Canis lupus familiaris: one gene and its partner. The protein of the gene in region 2 purifies or fractionates together with the protein of the main gene of each other region. This does not show direct contact. Links are inferred from orthologs where the notes say so. Each region holds a gene or a part of one and is shown on either strand. Other genes may lie near its edges.

Region 1 (9,486 bases), on a different chromosome or scaffold from region 2:
AACTGAAACCTCAACTTGTTACATTATTAAACAGTTAAGACATTTGGGAACTTAGACCCCGGGAGTGTAAGAGCAGTGTTGGACTCTTACACTGATCTTGGAGTTGTGAGTTCGAGCCCCATGTTGGGTGCAGAAATTACTAAAAAATGAAATCTTAAGGCGGCCTGGGTGGCTTAGCAGTTTAACGCCTTCAGCCCAGCGTAGGATCCTGGAGACCTGGGATCGAGTCTCACATCAGGCTCCCTGCATGGAGCCTGCTTCTTCCTGTGCCTGTGTCTCTGCCTCTCTCGCTCTCTCATGAATAAATAAAGAATAAAATATAAAAATTAAAAAATAAAATAAAATCTTGGGGGGGCTCCAGCTGCACAGGCGCACCTGGCCCTCCACAAAAAAAAAATAATAAAAAAAAAAAGAAAAAAATAAATAAAATCTTAAAAAAAATAATACAGAAAACAAATTGGTGGTTGTCAGAGGTCAGGGGGTAAGGGTGAAGGGGATCAAAAAGTACAAACTTCCAGTTATAAAATAATTAAGTCCTAGGGATGTAATGCAACAAACAGCATGGGAGCTATAGTTCATAATACCACAATGCACATTTGTAAGTTCCTAAGGGAGATCTTAAAAGTTCTCCTTATAGGGATCCCTGGGTGGTGCAGCGGTTTGGCGCCTGCCTTTGGCCCAGGGCGCGATCCTGGAGACCCGGGATCGAATCCCACATCGGGCTCCCGGTGCATGGAGCCTGCTTCTCCCTCTGCCTGTGTCTCTGCCTCTCTCTCTCTCACTGTGTGCCTATCATAAATAAATAAAAAAAAATTTAAAAAAAAAATTTAAAAAAAAAAAAAGTTCTCCTTATAAGAAAAACAATTTTTGTAACTATGTTAAGTGACAGATATTAACTAGACTTACCGTGATCGTTTTGCAATATATACAAATACCGAATCATTACACTATACACCTGAAACTAACATTATATGTCAATTTTACCGGATTAAAAAAAAAAAAATCAAGCCTTAAAGAATGTTTAGCATGTAGATTAAGGATAACTGCTTCATCCTTCTAAACGCCAAAACACCCAGAACCTTGGCAAATCTAAGAATCAGAGGAGGTTCTATGGAATGGTTTGAGAGCCCTTGCCCTGCCCTGCCCCCTCCGAGGTTCTATGGGTGACACTCTCACAGCCCAGGACTGTCCTTTCTCACAACAAAACCTTTGCCTTCACCAAGGGGCAGGCTCTGAGGCTGCTGACCCTCCCTCTCCCTTCTCTTTTCATCACCTGCCAAGGCCTGTGCTACTATAATTATCACCCATCACATCCACCGTTTCTCATATTCTTACAATTCATGTTATAGAATATATCTTCCGTGAGTTACCGTAGTTTTGTAACATAATTTAATACCAATATTCTATGTGTCATATGTTATTATATATATTAGTATCACGATAATTTCTAATGTTGTTTTACTATTTTGTACATGCTTAGGGCTATACATGCATTTTCTCACCCAATCTTTTTACTTATCAAGATATAAATGGATATGAAACACTGTATTGGGATCCCTGGGTGGCGCAGCGGTTTGGCGCCTGCCTTTGGCCCGGGGCGCGATCCTGGAGACCCAGGATCGAATCCCACGTCGGGCTCCCTGCATGGAGCCTGCTTCTCCCTCTGCCTGTGTCTTTGCCTCTCTGTCTCTCTGTGACTATCATGAATAAATAAATAAAATCTAAAAAAAAAAAAAAAAAAACACTGTATTACTTGCAGATGTACAACATAATGATTCAGTACTCACAAATATTGCAAAATGACCACCACAGTTAAGGCTAGTTAGTATCCATCACCACAGAGTTACAATTTTTTTCCTCTTTTTTTCTTTTTTGAAGTAAGCTCTACACCCAACACGGGGCTTAAACTCATGATCTGGAAATGAAGCATCGCATGCTCTACCAAATGAACCTGCCAGGCACCCCACAATTTCTTACGATGAGAACTCTTTTTACTTTTTAAATTATTTTTAGAGAGAGAGATGAAGACAGAGACAGAGAACACGAGTAGGAAAGAGGGCAGAGAAGAGAGGGAATCCTGAAGCAGACTCCCTACTGAGCATAGAGCCCAATGTGGGGCTCAATCCCAAGACCCCTGAGATCATGACCCGAGCTGAAATCAAGAGTGATCCCCGGGTCCTGGGATCAAGTCCTATATCGGGTTTCCTGCATGGAGCCTGCTTCTCCCTCTGCCTGTTTCTGCCTCTCTGTGTGTCTCTTATGAATAAATAAATAAAATCTTAAAAAAAAAAAAAAAGCCAGGGGATCCGTGGGTGGCTCAGTGGTTTAGCGCCTGCCTTCAGCCCAGGGCATGATCCTGGAGACCCGGGATCGAGTCCTGCATTGGGCTCCCTGCATGGAGCCTGCTTCTCCCTCTGTCTGTGTCTCTGCCTCTCTCTCTGTGTGTGTCTCTCATGAATAAATAAATAAAAATCTTTAAAAAAAAAAAAAAAAAAGCCAGATGATTAACTTACTGAGCCATACAGCCATCTGCGTATGATGAGAATTTTTAAGACCTACTTTTTTAGTGACTTTCAGATATACAATAGAGTATTAACTATAGTCACCATGCTGTACAATACATCCCATACCAATTTGTTTTATAACTGGAAGTTTGTACATTTTGACCCCCTTTGCCCATCTCACCCTCTCTCCTCTTGTCCAGTCTTATCAACTGTATAAAGCAGGTAATTATCCCCATATTACAGACAGGAAGACTGAAGCTCCACTATAAAAATCACCTAAGAATACACAACTATTAAGTTTCAAAGCCAAACAAGCTGGAGTGCAAGACTCCAGGAACTGCCTTTTTAACTTCTCTAAGGCTGGGGAAAAGGTGTGTTTGTTTGGGCCACCTCATCAGGAGTCAGAATTTGATGTGTGAGAAGTCTGTGACTGTCTGAGAGATCTGGTCTTGGGGATTTAGGACTCTGGTTGGATGGAGGCTTAGGGCAAGGGGAGAAATGGGCACGCACCTCAGGATGAATACACAGGTTCTTCCGGGAGCTCAGAGCAAGCCCCAAAAATGGCAGCTTCTCACCCTCCTGCTTCTCATAGAAGTTGAGCAACTTTCGCAGCTCTTCAATGACCTGTTCCAGTCAAGGATGGAGGGGGACTCCAGCATAAGACCCTGCCCAGCCTGGTCCTTCCCCAGCTTTCCCAACACCCCCTGAAAGCTATGAGGGCAACCACCCGGGGTCCAGCAAGTCCTGTGGGAGTGGCGGAGCCCCAGGATGGCCCTGGCTCACCTTCTCAATCTCAGGCACAGTTCTTGAGCAGTAGATGAGTTTAGTCACTTCCAGTGGATATGCCTGCCAGTGACAATGAGCTCAGCCCCTGTTGGGACCCCTTTACTCTGCTTCCCTCCCTGGGCCCAGGGGGCACTTACCCTCTGGTATGCCATGATCAGTGCCAACAGGGACACTGTCTTCCCAGTGCCTGAGGGCATCTCCAGGACTCCATGACCCTAAGTGTTGAGAGAGACAGATCTTCAGGGATACAAACTCTGGGGACCACTCCCAGAATGCCACCATCTTGAAATATAGAGACAACAGCAGGTAAAAAGCTAGGCCCCAGGGGCAATGGGTTTGAACCCCACTTTTGCCACCTCATTGTTGAGTGGTCTTAGGCAAGTACCTTCACCTATCTGGCCTCACCTCACCTCTAAAATGGGCCAAGGGATTCCTAGCTGGCTCAATCGGAAGAGCATGTGACTCTTGATCTCAGGTTTTCAAGTTCAAGCCCCATGTCAGGTGTAGAGATTACTTTAAAAACAAACTTTAGGGCAGCCCCGGTGGCGCAGCAGTTTGGCGCCGCCTGAAGCCCGGGGTGTGATCCTGGAGACCCGGGATCGAGTCCCGCGTCGGGCTCCCTGCATGAGGCCTGCTTCTCCCTCTGCCTTTCTCTCTCTTTCTCTCTAGGTCTCTATGAATAAATAAATAAAATCGTAAAAAAAATAATAATAATAATTGTCTTTAAAAATAAAAAAAAAATAAAAAAAAAAAACTTTAGGGGCACCTGGGTTGCTAAGTCAGTTAAGCATCTGACTTCAGCTCAGGTCAAGATCCCAGGGTCCTGGGATACAGCCCCTCATCCCTGCTCAGTGCGGAGCCTACTTCTCCCTCTCCCTCTGCCCTCCCCCGTGCTTGGGTGTGTGCTCTCTCCTCTCTCTCTCTCAAATAATTAAAATATTAAAAAAAAAAAAAAAAAGAAAACATTTTAGGGCAGCCCTGGTGGCTCAGCGGTTTAGCGCCACCTTCAGCCCAGGGCATGACACTGGAGACCCAGGATCCAGTCCCACATCAGGTTCCCTGCATGGAGCCTGCTTCTCCCTCTGCCTGTGCCTCTCTCTGAGATCTCTGTCTCTCATGATTAAATAAAATCTTTTTTTTTTTAAAAAGTTAAAACTAAAAAAATAAATAAAACTGGGCTCATAAGTACTTCTTCAGATCATGACTAAGGACTAATGAGAAACTGAGGGTTGAATATTTGGCAAAATAACTGATTTGTAGCAATCCATTTTTTTTCTTTAACTTAGCAAATAAGTTACAGCACTTACTCTGTGCCTGGCACCACTTCTAAGATTCCATCCAGTTTTCTTAACCTAGGCTCTACCTTTGGGGGCCAGATAATACCCGGTTGTGGGGGGCTGAACTGCGCACTGCAGGATGTTTAGCAGTGTCCATGGTCTCTAACTACGGGATGCCACTAGCATTCCACTCCAATAATATGACAACCAAGGCACGGTCTCTGCGGCGGGGGGGGGGGGGGGGGGGGGGTGTCAAAATCATCCCGGGTTAAGTTACTGAAATTAACCCACATAACCTTCCCCGTAACCTCCGAGAGTAGGCAATCATACTAAGCCCGTTTTACAGAGGTGAAAACTGTGAAACAGGGAGACGAAGGGCTTCACCCAAGGGCACACAGCTGTGGGTCGAGGATTCCAACCCAGACAGCCGGCTCCCAGGCGCGCAGCCTTTGATAAACGTCAGGTGCTGCTATCACGAACTATCCTTTTAGGTAACCGGAGGTCTGGGAGCGGGCCGGGCCCCCACCTTGGCGTCCAGCGTGCGCTTGAGCTCCAGCATGTAGGAGAACTGCTCCGGGTAGATGTAGTCGTAAGGGAAGTAGACCAGCAGCCCGTCCACGTTGAGCCTGGCGGCGGGGGCGGCCGGGTCAGTGCCCCGTCCCGCAGCCCCTCCCCAGCCGCCACGCTCCCCTGCCGTGGGGCCCGGAGGGGTCACCTGCGGGCGCCGGCCCCCCCACCACCACCCGGGCGCCCCCCAGTTTCCTAGGAGCCTCGGGTCCCTCCGGCATCACCTCGCTGACCGTCCCCGTTACCGCCCCGCGGGTCCCCGCGGCGATCCCCACCCCACTCCCCCAGCACCCCCTCGCCCCGCCGGGACCCCGGCAGCGCCGCCTGGGCCTCCCCAACTTCTTAGCCTGCCCCCCGCCCGACCCCCACCAGCCGGCTCGCGAGGGGCGAACCCCAGACCCCCCTCACTTCATGGCGCCGGGCGCTGCGAGAAGCGGCGTCGACCCGCCTCCCTCATAAATATTCAGAAAGCAGGACCCGTGGGGCGTCCTCGAGGTGCCGCTCCACCTTTCTCACGACTCCATTGGCTGATCCTGCCTGTCACTCTACTGGGGCCGGCTGATGCGCATGCGCACAGCAATGCGGGGGCGGGCTCCCGGGAGAAGAGGTGCGGAGGCGTCGCTGAGGATCGCAGAGTACCCAGAGCAACACTTGAAGGAAGAGAACCGAGATCATCGATCCCATTCATTAGGATTTGGTCTTCTGGCGTCTGCCCAGATCACCTGGCAGCGGATCCTCTAAAAGAACCGACAAGGAAATTGAGGACATTTACGGAACCCACGAGTTAGGAATGGCTTCATCGCACCAGACTAACGTGCACCTGTAAAATGCCTGCTGTGTCCTAGACTTCTCTGGGATAAATAACTCCTCCTATTTGGTGAACGCCCATGGTTTGCCAGACAGACACTGTCCTTATCAGGCAGTCATGCAAAGGCACTGTCGCTTGGTGGCTAAGGTGTGGACTCTGGAACCAGGATGCCTGGGTCCAAATCCTGGCCCCAGTGTCTACCAGCTGTGTGACCTTGGTCAAATTAACTTGTCATCCACAAAGTAGGAACAATAGATTATCTATAACATGAGGGCACCTGGCTGCGTTAGTCGGTAAAGTAGGGGACTTTTGATCTCAGAGTCATGAGTTTAAGCCCCACATTGGGCACAGACCTTACGTTACAAAAAAAAAAGTAAAAAATATTTTTTTAAAAGATTACCTACAGGGGCAGCCCCGGTGGCGCAGCGGTTTAGCGCCGCCTGCAGCCCAGGGTGTGATCCTGGAGACCCAGGATGGAGTCCCACGTCAGGCTTCCTGCATGGTGCCTGCTTCTCCCTCTGCCTGTGTCTCTGCCTCTGTGTGTGTGTGTGTGTGTCTCTATAAATAAATAAATAAATAATCTTTAAAAAAAAGATTACCTACAATGTAGATGATGCTTACTTAAATTAACCCTCATAAAACAGTTAAAATTGGGTTTAGCGCATCCTCAGCATTCAGTAGCTAGTAGCTTTTATGTGATTGTTCATCAAATAGATATGGGATCTCTACTGTGCTAGGCAGTAGACAGCCCCTGCTCATGTCCTCAAAGAACGGACATTAAACATACAGGTAAATATATGGTTACAAGTATGACAAGTACTTTGATGGGAAAATTCTGAAAACCATAAGGGCTACGTATGGGAAACATGCTGTCAACCAAAGGAGGGTGGGTGGAGTGGTCAGAAAAGCCTTCCTTGAGGAAATGAGGCTTGAGTAGACATAGAAAGTATGAGAAGGAACCAACCAACCAAAGGAGATAGATGTGAGAAAGGGCAAGCCAGAGGGAACATTGTATACAAAAGCTCTGCCGCCAGAAGAAAGCTGATGTGTCCAAGCGCTGAAGGGAAGCCTGTATAGTTGAAGGATGAAGCTGGAGGGAGCGAGCGATAGGGCCAGGCCAAAGATCCAAAGATTCTTAGGATTCACCTTCAGAATCCTAACCAGCATACCCCCTCCTCACCCCACACCAGCCTACCTTACCTCTGTGATCCCCTCCTCTCTTGCTTAGCTCATTCTATTTCAGTCCCATCATCCTCTGTGCTGTTTCCAGAACACTCTAGGCACATCCTACTTTAGGCCTTTGCACCTGCTACATCATCTGCCTGGAATGCTCTTTCCCCTGACATCCACATGGGTGGACCTCCTCATATCCTTCAGGTTCTGCCTCCAATGTCACCTCCTTAGTGGCACCAAATTAAATTCAACCCCCTACACACACACACACACACACACACCGACTCATACACTACCCACTGCAGTTCCTTTGCCTGCTTTGTTTTTCTTCAGAGCCCATCTAACAATCTGACATACCAAATATTTGACTTTTTAAAAAGATTTTATTTATTCATTTGACAGAGAATACAAGTGGGAGAAGTGGGAGAAGGACCCTGGGATCATGACCTGAGCCAAAGGCAGATGCTTAACCAACTGAGCCACCCAGGTGCCCCTGACTTATTTATTTTGTTTAGAAGGTCAGCTCCATAAGGACAGGGGTTTTGTCCATTTTACTCACTCCTGCATCTGTGGTCCTTGCTGCTGTGCCTGTCACACAATGGAGCATCAACAAATATCTGTTGAAAGGGCAAAATAAGCGAGGGTGGAAGGTGGGGGTGGAAGGGGGAATGGTCAAATTTGCATTCTGAACCCATAAGTCACTGGGGGTGCCTTGTGTCACATGAACCAGAAGGAGTAAGACTGACAAACAGAACCAGTCAGTGGCTCAGGCTAGGGTAGTGGAGAGAATTATGTCATTGAATCCTCGTGGTGGTCCTATAAATCACGTGATTTTATTACCCCCATTTCACAGATGAAAAAGCAGTCTCAGGTGAGGTGAGTTGCTCCGAGCCCGTTTTATTCCGGTATCTGTGTGTCTATGTCTGTGCCGTGATAGTTTCTGGAGCTGGTCTGGGCAGAGAAGGAGAATGAGGCTTGAATTTGAATTCTCCGATGAGCTGAGATTAGAGAAGGAGCTTCATTAACATGACTACGGGGTTCAGCAAGAGACACACAAGGCAGGAGGGAGTGGGCCACCCAAGGTTGTGACTTCCTTCAAAATCTTCTCTTGGGACTCCTGGGTGCCTCAGTGGTTGAGCATCTGTCTTTGGCTCAGGTCATGAACCTGCGGTCCTGGGATGGAGTCCCACATCAGGCTCCCTGCATGGAGCCTGCTTCTCCCTCTCCCTATGTCTCTGCCTCTCTCTCTCTCTCTCTCTCTTTCTCATGAATAAATAAATAAAATCTTTAAATAAAAAAAATCTGCTCTTTCATTTGTTAATTCATTCACCCATCCTATATTACCTGAGCCCCTACTTTGTGTACATTCTGAGCTGCGAAGGCAAAAGGCACCCAGCGGTGACCAAGACAGCCTCAGCCCTGTCCTCCTGGGGCACATAGCCCAGTGGAGGAGACAGAACCAACCCGATGGTGATGACCCACAGTGAGCAGAGCTGGGATAGGCGTGGGATGGGAATAACTGGTGCTTATATCAACAAATGACATTTGCTATACAGTCATATGAATGATAACATACTTCCAAAGTTAGACAAAGTCTCTAAAAATAGGTCTTAGGGAGCCAGTAGGATTCAGAGTGGTGCTGATGGTGGGGACAGGGGTCAAGCCAGTTCATGAGCTTGTTGACATGACCCTGAGCCTGAACCAAAGCTACACATACACTGATGCTCCTTGCAGTATCACGTCCAAGGAGAATAAAACAGAGAACCTGCACAGCATGACTTCAGATCATTGGGAGTAAACCATGGTAATGCTTTCCCACTGTTTGTGCCCCCCATGCAGTAACCAGCCCCATCCTGCTGCTCACTCTCGTGCTTTCTACTTGTCTCTGATGGTGTCCTGTGCCATCTCCCCCACCTTATCCTGCCCTCCCTCCTCCTCCAGGTCTCAGATATCCCTCCTCCAGGAAGCCCTCTCTGACCCCCCCCAGTCTGGGCCAGGCACTTTCTCTGGGCTCCCCCAGCCTATCCGTGATTACTTTGCTCAAGCGGGGAGACGGGGAAGAAAGATGTCTTTTTTATTATTATTATTATTCATAAGAGACACAAAGAGAGAGGCAGAGACATAGGCAGAGGGAGAAAGAAGCAGACTCCCTGTGGGGAGCCTGATGCAGGACTCGATCCCAGGACCCCAGGATCACGACTCGAGCCAAAGGCAGATGTCAACCACTGAGCCACCCAGGCGTCTCAAAAGGACGTCTTAAAATCAAGAATATAATAAAATGAAATTGAGTATTGGACTGACATGAGCCAGGCGTCATACTAAGCGTTCTGCTCCCTGCCTGACATCATTTCTTACTGTTCCCCCTGCCCCC
Region 2 (8,767 bases):
AGGAGGTGGCTTTGTTTTTTTTTAAGATTTTTAAAATTTATTTGACAGAGTGAGTGAGGGAGCACGCGCGCACAAGCAACAGAGAAAGAGCACGCACACAAGGAGAGCAGATGAGGGAGGAGCAGGCTCTCTGCTGAGCAGAGCAGGGAGCCCAATGCAGGGCTCAATCCCAGGACCCTGGGATCATGACCTGAGCCAAAGGCAGATACTTAACCAATTGAGCCACCCAGGTGCCCCGAGGTAGCTTTTTTTTTTTTTTAACTGGTCTATTGTTGGCTTTTTATTGGAAAACCAGTGCTCCTCTCTGAGAATTATCTATGGGAAGATAATCTTACACAAGTTATACAAATACCTATTACAATATTGTAGTATATACATCAATCCTAGACTTACCCTTAGAAGCAACTCTGCTAATATACAGCCAACAGCCCACATGTCGACACCTACACCATACATTCTAGCTCCAAAGAGTAACTCAGGGGCCCGATACCATCTGAAGAACAAAAAGCAAGATTGTAATTTTATGTTTACTTTTATTTTTTTTTAAAGATTTTATTTACTTATTTGACAGAGAAAACACAAGGAGGAGTGGCAGGCAGAGGGAGAAGGCTCCCCACAGAGCATGGGTCCAATGTGGGACTTGAACCCAGGACCCTGGTATCATGACCTGAGCCAAAGGCAGATGCTTTAACTGACTCAGCCACCTAGGCACCCCAAAAAACTGTAATTTTAAAATGGAATTATTGAAGTGTTTCTTGTAGAAAACTCCTAAGCAAAACATCATCCTACTGATCAACTTCACTTTTAGGGATAGATTAACTCAAGATAAACTAGCTATAAAACCAAGCAATTTCATACTAGAAATTAAACACATCCTTGGTCCATTTACTCTCCCATTCCTTGATGATTAATGCCTACTTCCTCCAGAAACTCACAACACCATTCATCCTCTAAGCCAATGACCTTATTTCCAGCTTTACTAAAAAGAATCCAAGTAATAGAAAGAAAGAAAAATTAAAAACAATTCCATGGACTCACCTATGGTCATTTGTATTTATACCATCTGCCTTCTCATCTGTAACTACAGATGAACTGTCCTGGACTGTTGTAATGCCAGTATGTCAACTTGGGGCACTAGGTACCATGCTCTCTTGCCTATTTCCAAAGATACTGAAATTCTCTTCTTCCAATATCAATGTTTTCTTCTTCACTAGACTTTTCCCACTAACGTACAAACATACCATTATTTCTTCAGTCTTAAAAAATAAACCAAAAAATTAAAGTAGCAAACAAAAACTTCTTTAGGCCCAACTTCCTCTAGCAGCTATCTCTACATTCTCTGGTTATTCTGAAAAGCTGCTTGTTTTTACTGTCTCCAATTACTATTCTCTTATCTTTTTAAACTCTTTCAGCGGGTGGCTGGCTCAGTTGATAGAGCATGTGACTCTTGATCTTGGCGTCATGAGTTCGAGCCCCACATTGGGTGGCAAGTCTACTTAAGATAAAAATGTTTTAAATTAAAATTAAATTTAAACAAGAACAAAAAAAACTTTCAATTAGGCTTTAATCCTACTACTCCACCAAAATTGCTCTTGTCAAGGTGATTAGTGATGTCCAAATCATAATTTAACAATTTTCAGTCTTCATTTTAACTTGACCTATTACTAGCACTTGGTAATACACACACACACACATATATATATATATATATATACACACACATATATATACATACACACACACACACCAGAAACTGGTATATGAAAAACACTGGTAGGGCATCCCGGGGTGGCTTAGCGGTTTAGCAGCACCTTTGGCCCAGGGCATGATCCTGGAGACCCGAGATCGAATCCCACATTGGGCTCCCTGCATGGAGCCTGCTTCTCCCTCTGCCTGTGTCTCTGCCTCTCTCTCTCTGTTCTCTCTCATGAATAAATAAATAAAATCTTTTAAAAAAAGAAAAAAAAAATAAAGCACTGGTATACAATACTTATACGTGGGTCCATTTTCTTCAGTTCCAAGAGTTCCTAAATAATGTGCTGTATCTCTCCATCAAGTACATCAATAACCACTTATATCCTTTACTTCTTACTTAAGGCTCAGGTGATTGATACCCAATGAGATCTATTTTGAAAGTGCGAAGTTATTTATCTTTTTTTTTGAGAGATTTACTTATTTACTTTTGAGAGACAGCAAGCTCGCACACGTGCATGCATGCACAAGTAGGGAGAGGGGCAGAGAGAGAGAGAGGGGAAACCTCAAGGGGTAGGGCAGAGGGAGAGAGAGACTCCCAAGCAGTCTACCCACTGAGGGTAGAGCCCAAAGCAGGGCTCAGGGCTTGATCTCACAACCCTAAGTTCCCAACCTGAGCCAAAATCAAGAATCAGACACTTAACTGAGACTGAGCCACTTAGGTGCCCCAGGTGACAAAGTTATTAAAAAGAACAGAATATTTAAAGATCTTCTCAGATCCTTAAAGAATCTTGGAAATAAATAAATGACATTTGGGGATGCCTGGGTGGCTCAGTTGTTGAGGCCTACATGTGTTTGGCCCAGAGCATGATCCTGGGTTCTGGGGACTGGGTCCCTCTTTGGGCTCCCTCCATGGAGCCTGCTTCTCCCTCTGCTTATGTCTCTGCCTCTCTCTGTGTATCTCTCATGAATAAATAAATAAAATCTTAAAAAAAAAAAAAACATTCTGACTAGAATTATAAAACCTACTGTCCATATATATTTCATGTGATTTTTTTTATTTTTTACATAGAAAGTATAAAAGAAAACATAAGTACAAATAATAAGATAAACCAAAATATCAATGCACTGCTTTATTCAGAAACTTTTCTTTCTTCTTCTTTTTTTTTTTTTTTAATAAAGCAGTAACAGTTTTATTAAATACAGAAAAAGTTCTCAGGGGTGAGAGAGGTCCCGACAGGGTTGCTCTATTTAGACCATTTTCATTCACACAGAGTGAAATAAAACATGAAATAAATCAGTGACTGACCAATAAAATAAACACAGGTCTCCCAAATCAGGTGAATATGTAAAAGAATAGCCACTATAGTTCCAACTTACCTAACTAAACTGTAGAAGTAGTATAAATTAGTCCCAAAAGTTATTAGACAAATGCCTGAAAACTGAGTTAGTTCAACTCCATCTGAAAAAATGTCTGTAATTATTTCATTGTGGTTAAATAAACATAACATAATCATATTTTTAGTAAAACACCACCAACAATTCCTAACTCTACTGGGATATTTCAGAGAAGCCAAACGATGCTCATTTGGGATTCATATCTATACAATAGGGGCACCTGGCTGGCTCAGTGAGTAGAGCATGTGACTCAAGATCTCAGGGTCCTGAGTTCAGCCCCATGTTATTAGGCCTACAAAAAGCTTACTTTAAAAAAACAAAAACTAAAAAAAAATAAAAATAAAAAATAAAAAATAATAAAAAAACAAAAACTAATCCTGCAAAATATAAACTTTCAGTTTTTTAAGTGATTCTTACCTGGTTACAACCTGATGTGTATAAGCTCTATTGGGGCTCCCAAATGATTTGGCCAGGCCAAAATCTGCTAGTTTTAGAACACCATTTTCATCTAGCAACAAGTTGTTTGGTTTTAGATCCTGTATCATGGAGGTTTTAAATAAACAAGTAAGCAGGAGGGAGAGAATACCATAAAAATACAATTAGTTGGCTTGACAAAACAAAACAGGGTAAAACCTCAAATTTAAACATATCAGATATAAAATCTTACCACAGCAAAAGACTGGTTTTATTACTTAGTGAGACCTTGGATTTACCTACTTCACAGGGTTGTTGTGAGGATTAAATTTAGTGTTTTTTGTAACGAGCCTACTATGACAATGAGGAATTCAATAAATAATTGCTGCTATTAATTTAGTAACAGTAATACACAGCAACTTCAGTAAATAAAAATATTATGCATTTAGAGAGAATGAGGAACATATTCCTCAAAATCTATACTAAAAAGATATTAGCAATAACCTAAAAGGGATTCCAAGTTTAAGGTACGAGAATTACTGACTATAAATTATATATTCTTAGCTATTTATCTAAATAGAGTACCTAAAAATATCTACCTATAGAGAGTGTCAGCCTTGTTTCAATAGCTAAATATTTCTAATACTGACTCAATCATTTCAGAAACTTTATTTCATTACTTCACAGAATTTTAGAGTTACTGAAATATTGCTGTTCTAAAAATATTTTAGCAATGTATAATTTAACCCAGTCTCTCACTGTATTTTTTTTTCCTGTCACAACAGTATAGCATAAAGAATACTGGACTTAAAGCCAAAAGACCTAGATTCTAATACTCTGTTGGTTATCAGCTACTGACCTTGAAAAAACTATAACCTCGGTCAGGTGACACAGCAAATTAGCTATTCATCTATGGAAAAAAATGAAGAACCGGGCCTCTTGCATTTCTAAATTTTACATAGTATTTTACAGTCCTCATTAGCACCACCTGGTGGAATAACTGAAGGGAACACCCAGAGGAAGACGGGATAAAATGGTCCGGCTTTATTTTTAATAATATACGTATTTAGACCAAATATTTATGTAATAACTGGTTACATAAAACTTGACTAAAATGTAAAAAGTCAATCATAATTGGTTAAAAACCTTACCCTATGTAGAATCCAGTGTTGATGTAAATATTCCAACCCTTGAAGAGTCATCAACATGTAGGCTTTGATGTGTGATGGGGTCAGCACAAGACTATTATCCTTTATTATAACCTGTAAATCCAGTATATAAAATACAATTATTCCAATTAAATTACATCATATAGAATCACACACAGACATATAATGAATTTATCCATCATACGGGAGAATCTGAAGAAACACTGCCTAACTCTCCTTAGGAAGCAGTGTCAGAATTTCCAGAAACGGAATTTTCCAGTTAGGGAAAGTATCTGCTGGGGCTTTTTCTCTTCTACTTCATTGTTTAAAAGGCATTAACATGGTGAACATCTGTTGTTTCGCTTGCCCCAGGATGTACAGCCCTTCTGATAATAGCATTCAACATTCCTTTGGGAAACCACCTGTTTAAAACAGGACTGACCACTACCTGTGGCCTCTAGAGGCAGATACATGACCCAGGCATAGCCAACCACCATACTCAAGCCTGCTGTCCAGAAGACTGCTTTAGAGTTGGACATGTGATCCAAGCTAATCAAACAGGCCAAATACTTCTAGAATCAAGGGGAACAAAGCACCTTCTTTCCTTACAGATTATTAAACTCTAAGGATATAAGCCACTATATTGAGAAATTATGCCCATGAAGGAAGATAACAAAGAAAATAGAGCTGAGTTAAAGTGCACAACTGAGTTCTCATGCATTATTTGAGAACTGTGCTTAAAGCCAGTTTATTGAAAAAAAAAAAAAGCCAGTTTATTCCTAAGCTTATATGTTAGCTAGAAGTTATCATTTTCTTTTTTTAGAAATCCTATTTAGAGGGGCAGTCTGAATGGCTCAGTGATTTAACACCTGCCTTCGACCTAGGGCATGATCCTTGAGTCCCGGGATTGAGCCCCATATCGGGCTCCCTGCATGAAGCCTGCTTCTCCCTCTGCCTTGTGTCTCTGCATCTCTCATGAATAAATAAATAAAATCTTAAAAAAAAAAAAAAAAAGGAAATCATATTTAGATAAAAGGTATCCAAATTGGCAAGAAGTAAACTTTTGGTATTTGCAGATGACATGATACTATACATAAGAAACCTTAAAGACTCCACCAAAAAACTACTAGAATTGATAAATGAATTCAGTAACGTTGCAGGACACAAATCAATACATAGAAATCTGTTGCATTTTCATATACTAATAATGAAGTAACAGAGAAATTAAGAGAACAATCCCATTTCTTAAAAAAAAAAAAAAATCAGATTTAGGCAAAATATGCCCTTTCTAGTGCACAGTTCCATGAGTTTTAACAAAGACATCCAGTTGTGTAACCATTATCATAATCAAGATAGAGTTCTTTTAACTCTCACCCATACCCCAATCGCCCCAGGCCCCTCTATGCCCAATACTTCCCTCTACTCCCAACTCTGACCACCACTGACCTGATTTCTGTTTCTTTAGTTCTTGCCTTTTCCAGAACATCATATAAATGGAATCATATAATACACAGCCTGGACTGAGCCTGAGTTCTTTCATTTAGCACAATCTATGTAATGAGATTCCTCTCTACTGTTATATACATATATGAGCAATTTATTTCTTTTTATCCCCAAACAGTATTCCATTTTAAAGATGTACCACAGTTTGTTTCTATATTAACTAGATGAAAGATATTTGGATTGTTTCAAGTTTGGGCAATAATGAACAAAAGTGAACATCTGTGTACCAATTAATTTCTGGGTAGACATATTTTTATTTCTCTTAAATACCTAGCAGTCATATTGCTAGATCATTCTTTAGCAGTGTATTTCACTGTTTAAGAAACTGCCAAACTATTTTCCAAACTGGCTGTACGATTCTGCATGCTCACCAGCGGTGTATGAGAATTCCAGTTGTTGTTAGTTTTCGAGGTTCCTTAATTAGTATTAAGGAAAAGCCTAAGATCTCATTTTCTCAAAAAAAAACAAACAAACAAAAAAAAAACTTGGCTGTCAAAAGGATGATATTCTGTGATAATATGGAAAAGAAACTCTAAATTCTCAAGGGCCTAATACTCATTTCTCTAAAAATAATGTCAATAAGGTAGAGGGAGCTTGGTAGATAGAAATGTTTTGAAATCCAAATCTCTGTATCTAACACTGGGAATACGGCTAAATGATTCAGAAGATCCTTTACTTAGGAGTACGTTCACATTCCAAAAAAATTAAATATTCCTTTGAATAACAGTACCTTCGAAAGTAGGAAATAAACAGGTTCTCTTTTGATAAAAAGAGAAAAAAAATCTCTTAGGAATCTTAATCTTACCTCTAGATCAGTTTCCATAAAATCAAAGACAAGGCTAATATTAGATTTATGCCCAAAAGCATCAAGGAGCTGCAAAGCAAAATTCAAAAAATAAATAAATAATGTGATTTTCTATAAAGTACTTGAAAATACTGTACCAACTAATTTTTAAAAATTTAAACAAGCATGAAGACTGCTGATAATACTCTGTTAAATCTGATTTTATTAAATTTGACATTTATCCTTTTTCTTGCTAGGAATTAGTAATTTGAGGTGTAAAACTTTTTTTTTTTTTTTTTAAGATTTAAGAGAGGGACGCCTGGGTGGCTCAGCGGTTGAGTGTCTGCCTTCAGCTCAGGGCATGATCCTGAAGTTCCATGAGTCCCACAAGGGGCTCCCTGCATGGAACCTGCTTCTCCCTCTGCCTGTGTTTCTGCCTCTCTCTCTATGTCTCTCATGAATAAATAAATAAAATCTTAAAAAAAAAAAAAAAAAAAGAAGAAGAATATTTAAGAGACAGAGAGCACAGCAAGGGGAAGGGCAGAGGCAGAGGGACAAGCAGAGTCCCTGCTGAGCAGAGAGCCAGACTCCAGGCTTGATCCCAGGAGATCCCGGGAGTTGGAGATCATGACCTAAGCCAAAGTCAGAAACGAAATCGACTAAGCCACGTAGGCGCGCCTCAACTTTACTATTTTTAAAAAGTCACTAAATACTTAAGCTCGCCCCCCAAATTTTGAGAGCTATGTTTAAGAAACAAATAATTGAAAATCTCACCTCAATCTTCAATTCTGTGCTCAGTTTTTAAGAAAATCCTATAAACAGCAATGGCAGCTATCATTCAATATATGCATTCTCTATGTCAGGCTCTATTTCCAGGTACTTTATATGCATTCAATCAACTAGTCTGGGGTGCCTGGGTGGTTCAGTTGGTTAAGTATCCACCTTTGGCTCAGGTCATGATCCTGGGGCCCAGTCCTGCATCAGGCTCCCCACTTAGTGGGGAGTCTGCTTCTCCCTCTATCTCCCTGCTTGTGATGTCTGTCTCTGTCTCTCTCTCTCTGTCTCTCTCTCTCAAATAAATAAAATCTTAAAAAAAAAAAATCAACTAGTCTTGTCACAACCCTATGAGGTAAGAATTATGGCACTGAGTTATAGGGAAGCTTACTCAAGGTCTTATACATGCTAAAGCTCTCTAGGCTTCAAAATGATTTTTGACATAATTAGGCTATATGCCAATATTAAATGTTTTAATATTTAATGCTTTTAAGACAACTGCCTACAGGACTAAAGAGAATAGAAAATACATATTATCCTGATAAACTGTAAAGCTTTTTTGCAAGGCTAACCTAAAACAATTCATCTTGCTCAGCATTCAATCAATATCTACCTCATTCAGAAATGGCAGGGTCCCAGATCCCAGAAACAACTCATATCATACTCACACCAATTATATTTGGATGGCTTAGCTCCTGTAATAATTTTATCTCTCTTAAAGCTGTTCTGTTTATACCTAGATGAAAAAGCAAAGCAAAATGTGAAAAATAATTCTGAAATCTCAAATCTCCTTACAAGCATATTTTTTGGGACAAGTTAGTCTTTCAGGAAATGGCAGTGAGTACTCCATAGAAAAATACAGGCTATTGGACAAATTGTTTGACATTTGGTTTTCTTTTATATTGCTTTATTTTGAAAATAGCTTAACAATGACCATGATAATTATTCATTTTGTAGCATATCACTTGAGAAGACTGCTGGAATAACAATGTGTCAGTGTGTAACATTAAAGGAATAAGTCAATAGCTTCCTCTTTCTTGCGTTATATTAGGAA

The links.
Region 1: the proteins of CDK7 (region 2) and ERCC2 purify together in Homo sapiens (affinity purification with mass spectrometry; 10 studies listed by BioGRID and IntAct, counting the BioPlex papers as one, with this or other methods). This does not show direct contact. The link is inferred for Canis lupus familiaris from reciprocal best matches to the Homo sapiens genes CDK7 and ERCC2.

Annotation. Positions count from the first base shown.
Region 1 is NC_049222.1:110,882,177-110,891,662, reverse strand, and holds the start of ERCC2 (general transcription and DNA repair factor IIH helicase subunit XPD), read right to left. Parts: upstream 5,611-9,486; 5' UTR 5,548-5,610; coding exon 5,543-5,547; intron 5,523-5,542; exon of another isoform or gene 5,504-5,522; intron 5,194-5,503; coding exon 5,094-5,193; intron 3,506-5,093; coding exon 3,428-3,505; intron 3,351-3,427; coding exon 3,288-3,350; intron 3,129-3,287; coding exon 3,015-3,128; intron 1,154-3,014; exon of another isoform or gene 907-1,153; intron 1-906. UniProt on the Homo sapiens protein: ATP-dependent 5'-3' DNA helicase. Component of the general transcription and DNA repair factor IIH (TFIIH) core complex, not absolutely essential for minimal transcription in vitro.
Region 2 is NC_049223.1:53,558,401-53,567,167, reverse strand, and holds part of CDK7 (cyclin-dependent kinase 7), read right to left. Parts: intron 8,450-8,767; coding exon 8,382-8,449; intron 7,030-8,381; coding exon 6,961-7,029; intron 4,767-6,960; coding exon 4,656-4,766; intron 3,627-4,655; coding exon 3,508-3,626; intron 494-3,507; coding exon 394-493; intron 1-393. UniProt on the Homo sapiens protein: Serine/threonine kinase involved in cell cycle control and in RNA polymerase II-mediated RNA transcription. Cyclin-dependent kinases (CDKs) are activated by the binding to a cyclin and mediate the progression through the cell cycle.